Linked DNA regions of Styela clava. The protein of the gene in region 1 purifies or fractionates together with the protein of each later gene. This does not show direct contact. Links are inferred from orthologs where the notes say so. Each region holds a gene or a part of one and is shown in the gene's direction. Other genes may lie near its edges. The genes, in order: COP9 signalosome complex subunit 4-like and denticleless protein homolog B-like.

Region 1 (7,123 bases):
CAAAATTGCACAAAACTTACATACAAGACTTACTTAGTGGATATAAAATATATATTAAAATATAGCGAGACTCCACAGGACAGCAAATCCACCATGCATTACCGTTTTACTGTGTTGATGGTGCAGTAGCTGAAGAACCCCTCTATGAGTTGCTTAATAAGTAACTTACCGTAATGTAAAACTGTAGATCCATGCCAATAATGGGCACAATGTATGTTACTCTACCGGCATGACTCTACAGAACATTTGCCCCATTTTGGAACAGCACCCTCTATCATCTCTTAAAATTCTGGTAATAAATTGTTAGATAGATGAAGACATGTCCTACAGCACTGCAAACACCTAGGCTTTATTGACTTAAGTTCCATTAGTGGTGGTACCCTAAAAGTCTCATTGCACGCAGCGCATTAGGAGCAGCGCATTCAGTGCATCTATTTCTGTATTTGAAATTAAATAACTGTACCACATAATCAAACATTTCATGTTACGATTCATCACAAAACGTGCCTATTATATCAAAATTTCGGTGCTCCTGAAGTATGCGCACCAAGATGTCGCATAACCTGAACCCTAACCTGGTACACAATCTGAATTCAGGTTGTGCGCCATCTTGGTGCGCACACTTCAGGACAAGTGCAGTTTCAAGTATTTTGTGGCGTCTACAGCTGCCGCAAAACCATGGCGGGATTTCCAAACCATGGCCACTAAGACCAAACCCACGGCGACTGACTTTTTAGCTGCCACAAACCAATAGCGAGCTGCCGTGGTTGCGGCAGCAAATCGAATACCACCAATTTTACTGCCGTAACCACGGCAGGTCGGCTGTAATAGCAGGGCTGCCCCTAATTTGCTGATGGTGATAAATACTTGGTGAGTTGGAATGTTTTTCTTATGGATACAGTTTGGATGGATTTGGGGTTAGGGTTTAAGTAGATATAATTTCGCATGATAAACTAAAATATGGTACATGAATTTGTAAATATACCGGTAATAGCGCCATAAAACCATGGCAGGAGACGGCGTGGTACGTTCGTGGCAGGAGCTGCCATGAAGTGGTAAGAACTGCGCCTCCTTCAGGAGGTCCAAAATTTCTTTATTTCAGGCCACTTTGTGTAAATTATCAAAAACCTGGGTGTAATTTTAAATTTATCCATGAAATGAATGCAGTCCAATAACCTTCAATTGTCTTTTGATATAAAATATACAAAACAATTACTTTCACTTTTTTCACAATTACTTTTTTTTATAAATTGATGAAATTTAACATTTGCTTGGAATGGCCCATATACAGATATATGATTGAGAATACCTGAATTCAAATATAAATCTATAAAAATTTCAATTTCAAAGGAAAAAAACATAAATAAAATGGTGATGGCAAGATCACTAGGAAAAAAATATAAACAAGATACTGAGATATGTTACAGATATACAAGGAAAAAAAGATCATTATGTCAAATTGGTTATTGGGCTTACAATGTTAAAAATATCAATTTCCCCCTCCCCCCAGGTACTGTAAAAAGTAGCCTACTGAAGTAAATTTGAATCTGAAAACAGCTTACATAAATTACTGGAGAATTATCATGATTCAATCTAAAACGAGAAATAAAATTAGGAAATAAAAAAAAGAAAAATATATAAATACAGATAAAAATCAGTAGAGAAAATGCCCATGTTTGATCCCTGATAATACAATAAAAGTTAAATTAAGTTCTCATTCTCACATACTCAAGGGCCTGAATAGAAAATGATATGCTGATCTTATTGCAGAATTGGAACTAACTCTGAAAGGCTGATTTAACTTACAGGTTTTGGGAAAATAACAATCTTCATGCTCAGCTAATAATATTTTTGTTTCAAATTTAGTATGATGAAATACTGAAATAGGATATGGTATTTTGAACTCTGTTATCCAGTTATCAGGTCTTGGCCAGTCTGGATTTCATGGCCTTTTTGAACGAGAAATCGGGCGTGCAATCAGAAATTCCCGCGTGCAAATAAGAATTCCTGGCGTGCAATTATAGCTCACGACGTGCAAAACAACTGCACTCGCGTGCAACTGACTTCGACATCAGATACCTCTCAATACATCCGCGTAAAATTACCGGTATCGGATAAAAAATACGTTGAATCAGAGAAAAAATGGACGTTTGACCTTTGACCCCAAACATTATTTCTACAGTTTGTCGCCAATTTTGAGAGTGTTTGTGCGACTTTGGATACCGGTACTGTTTAGTACATCCGCGTAAAATTATTGGATAAAAAATACGTTGAACCAGAGCAAAATGGACATACTTAGTCATTAATTTTGGTAGTGTTTTTACGTAGAATTAATGGATAAAAAATACGTCAAATTAGAGCAAAATGGACGTTTGACCTTTGACCCCAAACATTATTTTCATACTTTGTCACTAATTTTGGGAGTGTTTGAGCAACTTTAGATACCGGTACTGTTCAGTACATTCGTGTAAAATTATTGTATAAAAAATACGCTGAATCAGAGCCGTACTTGGCCATTGGTGCGGAGGCGATCTTTTCGTCCATAACTATTCTCACGGGATTCCTATTTCCTATCATTCAACACGATATGGACCTTTCCCCGAGCATCGACTTCCTTGTTTACTTCGTGGCTTTGGCCAATCAGCAAGATGCAAAAAAGGACGTAACAATGAGAGGAATTTTTCGCGGGTCAAAGGTTGGGGAAAGGTCCATTGTCTTTTTGCTTCGCAATATTTCGATCAGACCAAATCTTGCAAGCTGGTATTTGTCGACAATTGTGGAGTTATAATATTTTGGCATCTTTATATTACTGGATTATTGATTTTAAAACCATTTAAACCGATTTACATTGGTGAGCAATTGCAAATTTTCGGCGTGCAAAATTGATTTCGCTCGCGTGCATTTTTGCGGAGCGCTAGCGCCCTCGGGCGTGCACCTGCCATGGAATCCAGTCTGGGGTCTTGGTACAAAAAAGCAAACCCAACCGAAAATTCGCAAACGTTTACAGGTTTAATCGAGACTGTAAGTATAAGTTTATTTCGACTCCATAATCAGCATAACAGTAAAATGATTGGTAAATAAATAAGAACTGATTATGAAATCCGGAGACAGGATGAACAAACAATAATAGGCTACAGTAATAATTTGATAAACGTAACCTATCCTGACCTCACCGTCGTGTGGCTAACGTTAACTATACTAACATAAATCGAATTTTTTTAAATATATGACAGATAACGATAGATTCAAAAATTTCTACAGTAACGAAACATATAATAACTTATCGTATCGTATCCCCCAAAACACCCTGTTTCTCCAACTGCAGCAGAACTACACCAAGTCAACGACATTACGACACGCGTAAAAACCAAAGACGTGTAGACGAAGTCATACGCCAGCAGCAGAGAATGAGCGATTGGTCTCGTGTTCGACAGGAATAAGCACCAATAAATGTTTGAAAATTACAACAGGGTGGCAGGTTCAAGTCCATTAATTAACATAATATTCTTAGTGTAGCAATGATAGACATCATATACATTGATAGAAAATATACGTAACAAAATATCCCCATAAAACAAACAAAAACAGTTTGATCGATTTTGCGATTATTGCTTCGGTTCTTCAGTTCGAAAAGTGTGTTGGGAATATTAGTTATTGACTTAAAGTTAAAAGTTTTGTTTAAATTGTTCTATTTTATTATTTGAAAACCAGTTACAACCATTAACTGCAACCACGCTGTGTTGTACAAATGTATTTTCCCCGACCTTTGACACCAGAAATTTTCTTCAATATTTTTCGGTATTATATTCCAGTGTTCACAATCGCATAGTTTGTGGAAATTAACCTCCGTTCCTCTTTCTCAGTTCAGTAGTCACTGCTAGTGCTTCATAGAAAAAACACCCCCTCTACTCTATTGCTAAATATAAATTTTCAGTCCTGAGAGTTTCAACGGATTTGAGCATTTATTGAGTATGTAGAAAAATTTAGTTCTTGATTCCGATATTATCAGTTCTGTTAAAGAGAAAAAGTCTATCCGAATAAAAAGATATATGGCAGCCAACATTCGCGCTGATTTAGCTGTTCTCAATAATGCTGCCAGCAGTTCACATAGAGATTTATCTGAAAGGTGAGATAAATTTATGCTTGCAAATGTAACTAGTGATCATCTTCTGACTACTGGACTAAGCAATGTATTTTATTGAATCACACAATTAACATGATTCAAATGATATCTATCAATTTTGTCTTACTCTGCCTTGGCATATTGTTCATTTGAAGTTGTTCAATATTTATCTGAATATACTGATATACAATTACCTAGTTAAGCTAGTAAGGAATCCATGTTTTTCTTGCGTTTTGCTGTTGGTGGTATAGAATTAATATATTTACCGTTATCTTTGGGCTAGTTGGGATAAGATTTACTTTCTTTACATTTTTATGCCCTCAAACTTTCTCAATCTCTACTATTCTGTCATTATTATAAAATGACATAGGTTTTCTATTCATAAATTGCTTCTGGTTATGTTTTGTCTCCACAGACAATGTGTATTTCTCAATGCTGCAATGTGTACTTCCATTATTGTTTTTTCAAGTTTTTTTGTGAAAATAAATTCTTCCTTTCCTCAAATTTTCAAGCTTATCAAACGGCATATTTTCCTCAGTCCATAGAAAAAGTGTGGTAATCTGATAGTAACAGAGACAAAGAACTGTGCTAGCTCACAGTAAATGCATTGGAGTCTTGAAAATATTATTGCAATCCCTTCACCTGTCTGCCTGTGTATTAGTCATCAATCATAAATAAACATATTTCAGGACATGTCTATATTTTTATACATTTCAGATATCAACACATATTAGAAGCATGCTTCAAGTTGGTTGATAATGAAAAAGTTTCCGCATTGAAGATGTTTATAGATGCAAGTTAGTATTGCTGAATATAAATTTCAACTTGAGTACTGCGAATATATGCATGTTAGGCCCTTTATATGTAATTATCCGTTTACCTTATTTTAGTTCTTATTGATTTTTAGTGGTGAATGAAAATGTGAGTCAAATAGTATCTCGTCAATTGATGACAGAATTTTGCCAACATCTATCTCAGCTTAATAATGCTATGTGTAAAGAAGTTTGTCATTTTGCACTGGATCGAATTCAACCAAGAGTAATTTCATTCGAAGAACAGGTATTTTTATCAAGTTCATGAAAAATGATTGACAAAGGTTAGATATAAACTGGGATGTAATCTATTTTCAGTCGTTTAGCATGAATATTTGTTATCATTCCTATGCCTTTCTAAATTAAGTCTGTGTTTGAACCCCCTTTTATTTTTTTCTTTCACCCTTATTACACCTGGAGTAACTCCTTGAAATATAACATCAATTTTTTTTTTAATGGTATTTAAACCAACTGATATATATCCTATTCTGTTTAGTTGGCTATATGGTTATCTATCATGAAGTTTAAAACTGTGTCCTTCCCTGGCATCAGGGTAGTTTTAGCGTGCAGGCAAAATGTATCTACGTAGTAGTAGGCTACATGTTTTAAATTTCAAATTCAAATAATGTAATAAGAACTCAAGTTCATGAACCTATCAAGGTTTCATATATTTGTTTTTATATAAAGGTACACGTCTCATAAAAACATCTTTAAAATACTATTCAGGTTGCTCAAATCAGACAACATTTAGCAAAAGTTTATGAAGATGAAGAATCATGGAAAGACGCAGCTACAATTCTTGTTGGAATTAACATTGAATCAGGACAGAAACAATATGATCATGATTATAAGGTAACTTTCAAAATATGAAATACCCAGTTTCAGCTGTGTAACTTGAAAAAGTTGATAATGAACTATATGGCTGTGATTATGGGTCTGAACATGACTTTTCTTTTTTCATCATTGAAATTTCCCTCAATTATTATTCGCCTTGGGTTAGTTTGTTATCAGTGAGATACGATACCCAGTGTTCTTAAAACTTTCTTCATCACAATCCACTTGGCACAGCTAATTTTTTTGCAACCCCCAGGAACTGAAATGAGTAAAATTTAATAATACAGAAAATATTGAAAAAAATAATAAAATTCTCGCACCAAAGATCAAATCTTGCCTCCATTTGTTTCCAAATGTGACTGATATTTTATTTCAACATAAGTTAGTGCAGAAAAGATTTTACTGCGACCCCCATTTAGCCTTTTTTCTAAGTATAATACCTGTACTTTCTTATTTCAGTTAGAAACATACTTGAAAATTGCGAGATTATTTTTGGAAGATGATGATCCAGTACAGGCAGAAACCTATATCAATAGAGCATCTATGCTACAAAATGAAACCAAAAATGAGCAATTACAAATCCATTATAAGGTGAGGTTCTTACTATATAGATAAAGAAAAAAGATAAATTTACAGCGGATTCATACCTCGGACTGGTTGAACGAAATCTTGACTTCCTACTCTAGCCTTGAATTGCAAGAAACCCAAGTTTTCATAATGAAAACTTTTCAATTCATTACCTCAGCGGTTTCCAAACCTTTTGTTTGTGCGGCGCCATCGAAAAAGAATTGCTGCTTTCATATGTGTACTTTATGTCTTTTGAAGATTGTAAACATGTGTAGGCTTGAAGAATAAAGACAAAAAGTCAATACTAAAAAAATCACCCATGCTCGTTAACTCTGTACAGCAGATAATTCATGACATTGCATTGTGTGTCTACCTCTATTGTTGCGTGACAATAAAGGCAGACACTATGAAACAGAAAGTAAACAGCATAGAAATGTGAAATGTATTATTTGTTTATTCATATAAACAGCATTTAAAAAAAGAAACAAAACATTTTTAATAAATACAACAACAGAAGTGGAGTATTCAATCATATATTAGTTATATTTAACATATTTATGTTAATTTTCGGGGCGCACTTAGAAATCGCCACGGCGCACCCTTTGGGAACCGCTGACTTTGTTGAGAATGTTTATTTAACCTGATGGTTCATGAGTTTCAATTGTTTTCGAATTTTAAATTCCGATACCATCCTATAAAAATCCGTAGTTCCAACTCCCAACTCTGTACAATTCAAAATATCGACTTCAGACTCGAGTAGGTTTGAAAATAAGGCCCCATATCCTAC
Region 2 (7,771 bases), on another chromosome or scaffold:
TATGGGTGTTCCAGAAGTATTCATACCAAAATGACACACAACCTGAACATAGTATGTGTACCAGGTTAGGGGTTTTCAGGTTGTGCGTCATCTTGGTACAATACTTCGGGAGCGCCGAAATATGTATTCAAAAGTGGGAAATAATAGATAGCTACAGTACACTTACCAAACTGCATAAGTAAAAAATCAGCGACATTATGCTTTAACTTGTGATATCTTTCTTCAGGTGAATCATAATTAGTCAAATTGAACGTTGAATTAGTAACTCCAGAAAATTCACCATCCACGGCAACAAAATTTGCTTCTGAAACTGCTTTTTCAACAATTTCATACGTTTCCTTGAAATTATGCCTGGTAATATCCATTTTTATTGATCGAATTAATTTCTAAATACTGGAAAACATTGAGATTGTAACAATGAACACCTCGTTTTATTATCAATAATTTGAATCATATATGTTTATATGATAATCATATGAATATATATGATTGATGATACATGCTGATAATAATATATAATTCGAATCATATTGCACAATTGAAGTACCGAATTATTGCAAAATTTGAACTAGTTAATAAAAAGGTAGGACATAATTTTAAATTGTCAGTTTATTTTATGAAGGGTTATTAGGGAGAAAAATATTGATTAAAAGTAAATTAAAACACTTTGGCACATATGATCGATGATTGCTAAAATGTAATATTTGTAAGGTCATACTTAAATAGCAAATACTTTGGTTTATTGTACCATTTCGTTAATAAGGAAAGATAGGAATTCAATATTAATGTGCAGAAAGAATTGTTCCAATTTTCCTAACTTACTCAAATATACTCAATTGTTAATAGGTAATTAAACACACCATGCTAAAGATGCAATGGTTTTGGCAATATTTTATGCAAAATAACTGGACAAAAACGAAACAGATATTAACATATTCAGACAAACAGATAGCATAATGCATTTTAATTCATAGAAACTGCAATTTTATAATAAAAAAATAATTCCCTGCTCTTGAATACATACATATTAATCTTGAATAGATAACTGGCAATCAAAAAATATTCACTGAAATTCAAATGATTTTTTCGATAGCTTTTTAGCACATACATTATACTGAGTGGTCAAATAAAATGCAATGCCTTTTTCATAATATGCTGCCTCATTAATAAACGCTGGGTAAAATGGACCGCTACTCGAATCCTCTATTACGTCTTTGAGATAAAGAACATTGCCATCAAAAGACAAAAATACAGGATCGTTCAACGTCAACAATTTCCAATCTTGATCTTGAAGACTTGGATGAATCATTGCAGTAAGATGACCTTCCACATCTTGTGGGTACGGTATTTTTGTAACAGCTTCGTATGCTGAAAAATTGACTTCTGGAAATTCCTCACCATTGTTATAGTTTTCAATGAAGTCAAGAGCAAAGTGAACTGATGACTCTTGCAAAGACATTATGTCAGCTCGCAACACACCTTGTGGCTGGGGACCAACTTCTATACCAACTCCCCCATATTTTCCTAATCCTCTACCAGAATCATAACTCACATTGCCAGCAAGGGACATAATATAACACATTCCCTCTGGTAAATGTGTTGATACATAATGCATTAAATGCATATTAAAGTCATTCGATTCCATGTGAAGGAGACTAACTTTATTATTTGCTGTTGTATTGTGTAAATCAAGTATAAATTCACATTCGCCAATTTCTCCACCTTCACTCAACATTCCTTTCAGTTCTTTTGCTCTTCTAACTTCATAGGGTGTGTTTTCATTTATTTCAACTTTAAAATTTTCAGGAGACATTTGCCTGTTTAAATCCACATCCTTATACCGTCTAACCAATTTCACAGCAATTGGATTAGCAATTAACATTTTTGTTTGGAAGGTTGATCTGGTAACTGATTCTGGATTTTTCTCCCATTTTCTCACCAAATGAACACCGGACATCTCATTGCCATGCATTCCTCCAAATATGCAAATTTGTTTCATGGAAGCCATAATCTTTGAATTTAAAAGTTTGCCAAGATAATTGAGAAACTTTTTGTGATTACCTTGCGTATTTGCAACGCCGATAAAAAGCAAATTCTCATTTGGTCACTGTTCCCCCGAACTTTGACCCCATAGATTTATTTCTTAATCTTGCCCGTAAATGAATGGATGTTTCCCTGAACATCGAATTCCTTGTTTATTGCCGTAACAATGACCAATCAGCAATACGGCAACATTGAAGTAACAATTGGAATTTATGCGGCCACTCAGACACTTCTTTGGCTCAAACAGATATTAAAGAATGGTTGTAAACATTGCCTCGTTTTGTGTTTTGCGTGTTGGTATTTCTCAGTTTTCAGTTGTGTTTCCGAAAAATAGTTGTAAATCAAATGTCTTATTTGGAATCATGCCTTCCGAAGACATTCAGTTTAGTTGCAATAATTAAAAGTTGATTACAAGCTGAAAGCAACTATTTGATTTAAAATATTCAATCACTTACCAATAGAATGCCGAAAACTTAATTAACATACCTACTATATATGATTGAATTTTTACATATTGCATTTATTATAAATGTTTTATTGTTTCTTATTTAAATGCTGTGTATATGAATCAATGAATTCATTTTACCTTTCCATTACGTAATGTTTGCCTCTAATGTTACGTAACAATGGAGATAGAGATATTTGCTGCAATTTAGCAAGATGCAGTTTATTTATCTGCTGGATCGAGTTTAGCGATGTTTGCCTATTGCAAAACCAAAAAGATTGCTGTAAACTCAATAATGAACTTGTCAAAAAGCTAGGCCGACGGTTAACGAAAATACCACTACCCTCAAGAAGTTAGTCCGACGGTGACTCGATATTAAACGGTCGTCAGTATGGCGACAACTTCACGCGATCCCGAGATCGTCATGTCGACCACTTCAGATGTATTTTTGATTCATTTTCCACGGAACACTCGGAAGACGCTGCGTAACACAGTTTGGAGAAACGCTGAGTCCTAGTCCATAGCAAGAAATCTATCATACACGTTTTGAATGATTAATAATCTATGTTCAGCATTTATTCTGAATTAAAACGTGTTATTTGTAGGTAAATGGCAATCAATTTTCAAATTTTGTATATTAGAAAACCTCGTAATTTTCTACTTCGTAATTTTGTTTTTAATAAATTAAAATAAAAAGCATCCCCTCAAATAAAGCCCTAGTGTTATTTTTCGAAAGAAATATTTCAGAGAAACACAGTAAGATAAAATTTGAAACTGTATTTAATAGTAATAGGCTATTGGCGACTTCTCCATTTTAAGTACTGAAAAATTAAATTCGATTAATCCGATAAATGCGCGAAAGGAGATTTTTTCGGGTATCGTTTTTCCTAAAAGATCGACAGACGATTCATCACCAACGCTTAGTTGCGGGCGCAATATAGGCCTACCCATACGAGGCGATAGGAAGGCTCAGTGGTGGGCATAATGTTCGCAGGATAAAAAACAAGAGGAAATATCAATATTCGTTGAAATTGCTCAATGCACTAATTCTTTTTCAAAAGCATGTCCATTTTTTTTTTATCTGATACTGTTTTTTATCAGATTGTTTGCAGCATTTTTTAATTGTCATAAAATAACACTGAAGAAAAAGTAAAGATAGGTGAAAATAAAATGTCTACGTTTATGCCAGGAGTGTGACGTTTCATCCGATTACTGGATCTAGGTAGAAAAGAACAAGACTTGATATCGGGATAAAGTTTGAATTAGTTGGGACTATTACAATTTAGCCTTTTTCGTCTCAGTTTACGGAATGTGAAAATACCACTATGCCTCTAATGTCAGTAAAATATGAAACGTCAGCGTATATCTAACATATTAAAATTTATGAGAACTGACATCATTATAGTTTTCGCAAAAACATATGCAAATTAAGCATATATATTATTGCATAGGTGAAGTAGGCTCTAATTTTATTGATGTTGGTATCGCATTGCATGGAGTGCAATAAATTAGATAAGCATTTTCGAACCGGGACGATTCTAGCTCTTACAAATAGCAGTAGCTCCTTACATATCGATATATGTAACTGCTTCCACAGGGCCTTGTTCGGAGCAAAGCATGCGAGTAAGCGTCGTATGAAAAAATAAAATGGAAATCACGGACATATTTCAATCGGGACACTCTATATCTTACATTATCGTAAAAACCGCATTTAAATTTGACACAATTGGTGTGTGTATATAGTTATGCCAAACCTAAACAACCCGGAAAATGACTACGAATTCAACACAAACGGATACTGGTACATCTGCACCTCTCTGTTTTGTGTATTGTACTAAAGATTCATTTGTATGTTTCATCAATTTCATGTCTGTTGCCCAACTATTACGCAGAAATCCTAAACTGCTGTTATACCGTGATACGTGTTCAAGACCTTACTGGTGTAAGACACAGTTGTGCGACATGTTTCATGAACCGTAAATTTATAATACGCAACATATACATATATATAGTTTGTACCGAATAACTTTGTGTATGTTGTATATTTTTATTGTTGTTGTTACAATGCTTGTTTTCTAGTTGACGAAACAATATATCGCGCACTCTCTCAAGTTGGTTCTGTTGTTTCCATACTGTCCTTCTCAGTAATTAGTATGACCCATGACCCGACAATTCGCGTGAACAGCGGGAAATCCAAACGCTGCAAAGACGGAAGGCGCCGACGCCGATTTTTTTTCTCTTGGTGATTTACCGTCGGTTACTTCTGTGTAGTAGCCTACATAATTGCCACCATCACGGTACTTCTGTTACTTTTTACTACCGGTTACTTCTGTGTTCAGTTGTTTGCATTTTGCTGTCACAGCATCGCGTTTAAACCACGCTACCGGTACCGCATCTGTAGCTCTATCTTATATTTCATCTTCTGTATTAAGTGGAATTTGCATGTTATGCTGTCATGGCGTTTAACGTGGGAAAATTAACATTTATTCGTCAGATTGGAATGTCAAATACGAGATATCGAAAATGCGTCAACTATAACGAAAAAGGTCAGGTATTTCTTCATATCATATGCCATCCCTTTTTTAACTTTCCGTGATGTGATGACACAATGTTAATAAATCTGCAAATATTCTTGGTCTCATTGCAGCTCGGATTTAAATATATCAAGTACACTGTCTGACTGTATGTCACAGTCTGACAGTATCATGAGACGAAGATAAGGTAGAAGATATTGATTTTTCCAATTGTTTGAACGTAATACTGATATGAAATATCAGAATATCGCCTGATACCGTACTGCTGTACTACGTTATTTTACAAAATCTGAAAATTACATTATAATATAATATAGATTGCAGATATCATCTTATTGTAATTTTTCATCTGCTTTAATATATTTCTACGATTCTTGTTTAGATTTTGTCAATAGTTTCAATCAACATCACATGCAAGACATATTTTGTGCCAATAATCAGAAATATGTCGTTCCTGGGGAACTTGAGGTAACGAATTTAATTACAATTAGTTTAATCTGGTATTTGGAAAAAACAAACATCGCTTTCAGCGATTTTTATGCAAAACACAATTTTTCAATATCAAAAAATATTACATGTTTTAGAATAGATTATTTTTATTTGTTTCAGCCGGAAGTACCCCCATACACAGTTGAATTTTGTACAGGTATGTTCCACAACTTTTCTTTAAGTGATTCGTTTTTGATTTTATTTGATTACATTTTAGGTCTTTATTCTGGTATTTTCCCTTTCTAATTTGATTTCGGCTTGGCGGTGTGGCGCATCGTGCCAAGCGTTAGCAATACGCTTGCTACCACATCTCTGATTACCTTGCGAGGGTTCGCATGTTCGAATCCCGTGCAGAAATAGTTATGTGCGAGTGGATTGCTGGACTCCTCGCCGCTGTAGGGTGGTCAACGTAACCGCTGGTCGGTTACAGCTTCCTTCACCATCAAGTCCATGCTTCGGAAAATAAATAACTGGCTAATCCCATACTCGACGTGGACTGGTATCTGGACGAGAGCCCGTGGTTTTCCATATGATGAAGCCGTCTTATCGGCTTACCCTTCCCAGGATGAATATGTAGGCTAAATCTTGGGTTAGATTATTGCCTTGCCTTTAAATTATCCTAAGCTTGCTTGAAATAATCAGAATCAACATTCAAATCAGTGGTGGGGTATTATCAAGATTGTACTCATTTACCAAAACAAATACATGGCATGGATTTCTTAACTTCAATAAGTATTATTTTTAAGCTTCCGGCAGTGAGCATACATTTGCAGTGGCAGATGAAAATGGAATCGTATCTCTTTTCATTGCTAATGAACCAGTACTGGGAAATGATGCTGATAAAGTATTGAGGCCACTGCATAAACTTGAGGCACACAACAATGCTATATTTGATATTGCATGGATTCCTCACGAACATTCTCTAGCAACTGCATCTGGTGATCAAACAGCTGCATTATGGGACACACTAAAAGGAGAAGTCATAACTGTTTTCAAGGGACACAGTTGTAGTTTGAAATCTGTGAATGTGTCTAAGCACAATTTGAGTAAGTATGTTATCCAATCAAACATCCTCATTGAATCTATTCCTGTTCAAGCACAATGTTCCCCCCAACACATTTTTTTCTTTTATCTATTTATTCATGTCAATCATGTGATCATTTTGAAAGAAGTATTTTTCATCTATGTTTTTTTCGATGTGAGAAAATTTTACATATATGCAAGGTTCAATTTGTGCCTTTCCTGATGGCAATTTAGCCTATTTATCCCGATTACAATTTATGCATTTCTGTATCTTGAAAACAAGCTGTGGATTCTGAGAACATTTACAATCAACTTTCAGATGAACAAAATTTTGGCTCAGACTCCTGATTCATAGTTTTGAAAGATTTGGCTCCAGCATTGAACTCCGAGAAAGTGCAATTTTGATAATGAAAACTTTGGCGTTCTGTAGAATTTGTTATTTTATCACCTTGGAAATATGCAATTCTGACATCATAAAATGCAGAATTTTGACATTCAAGTTTGAAACTACGACTCCAGACTCCACAGTTCTGCTTTACTCTATTTATGGTATTGTTCAACAGATCTCCTAGCAACAGGATCAAGAGATGGGAATGCATTGATATGGGATCGTCGAACTTCATCACAACCTGTTGTTAGAATCCAGGATGCTCATGTGATTAATGATTCTTTAACACCGATGAGAAAACGAAGAAGAGCATTAGCGGTAGACACTGGACAATTGGCCATAGTAAGTTTTATTGTCGCGACTCGCAAAATACTTTTTGAAATTCATTGCTGATGAGCGAATGATATATGTACTTTCACATTAAAAACCAAAAGAGGGCCACTACATACTGGATTAAATTTGACGAAATGAAAGGAAAATGTTTATTCAAATTTTATTTTATTCTGGAAAATTTATCGACAGTTATAAAACTTTATAAGTACTACTGCAGTATGTCTTCTTTTCAAACGTAAACCCAGCACATACAATGCTGAATTTACCACTTTTGATAAATCTATGCAAAGTGAAACTAAAGCAACACAACTTCAAGAATTATTCATAGAAATCAAGTATTTTTCATGAAATCTAGTTTATTTTGTCCAGAAACAATCATAGATACCGTACATAAGATGTTTGTTTTTGTTGTAATATAGCATTATCTACCTTTAAAATTACATAGAGAGAATGGCCTCCCCGACCAGCAATTGCACGAAGACTTAAAAGTTGAATCATTATTAGTTGACATCTTAT

Evidence for each region.
Region 2: the proteins of COP9 signalosome complex subunit 4-like (region 1) and denticleless protein homolog B-like purify together in Homo sapiens (affinity purification with mass spectrometry; 3 studies listed by BioGRID). This does not show direct contact. The link is inferred for Styela clava from reciprocal best matches to the Homo sapiens genes COPS4 and DTL.

What each region holds. Positions count from the first base shown.
Region 1 is NC_135260.1:11,660,705-11,667,827, reverse strand, and holds the start of COP9 signalosome complex subunit 4-like, read left to right. Parts: upstream 1-3,830; 5' UTR 3,831-4,049; coding exon 4,050-4,126; intron 4,127-4,840; coding exon 4,841-4,920; intron 4,921-5,030; coding exon 5,031-5,182; intron 5,183-5,661; coding exon 5,662-5,787; intron 5,788-6,228; coding exon 6,229-6,360; intron 6,361-7,123. UniProt on the Homo sapiens protein: Component of the COP9 signalosome complex (CSN), a complex involved in various cellular and developmental processes.
Region 2 is NC_135253.1:12,719,373-12,727,143, forward strand, and holds the start of denticleless protein homolog B-like, read left to right. Parts: upstream 1-4,760; 5' UTR 4,761-4,943; coding exon 4,944-5,034; intron 5,035-5,404; coding exon 5,405-5,490; intron 5,491-5,631; coding exon 5,632-5,668; intron 5,669-6,257; coding exon 6,258-6,557; intron 6,558-7,097; coding exon 7,098-7,264; intron 7,265-7,771. Other genes in the region: poly(A)-specific ribonuclease PARN-like, read right to left, coding at 167-365; aspartoacylase-like, read right to left, coding at 1,064-2,008. UniProt on the Homo sapiens protein: Substrate-specific adapter of a DCX (DDB1-CUL4-X-box) E3 ubiquitin-protein ligase complex required for cell cycle control, DNA damage response and translesion DNA synthesis.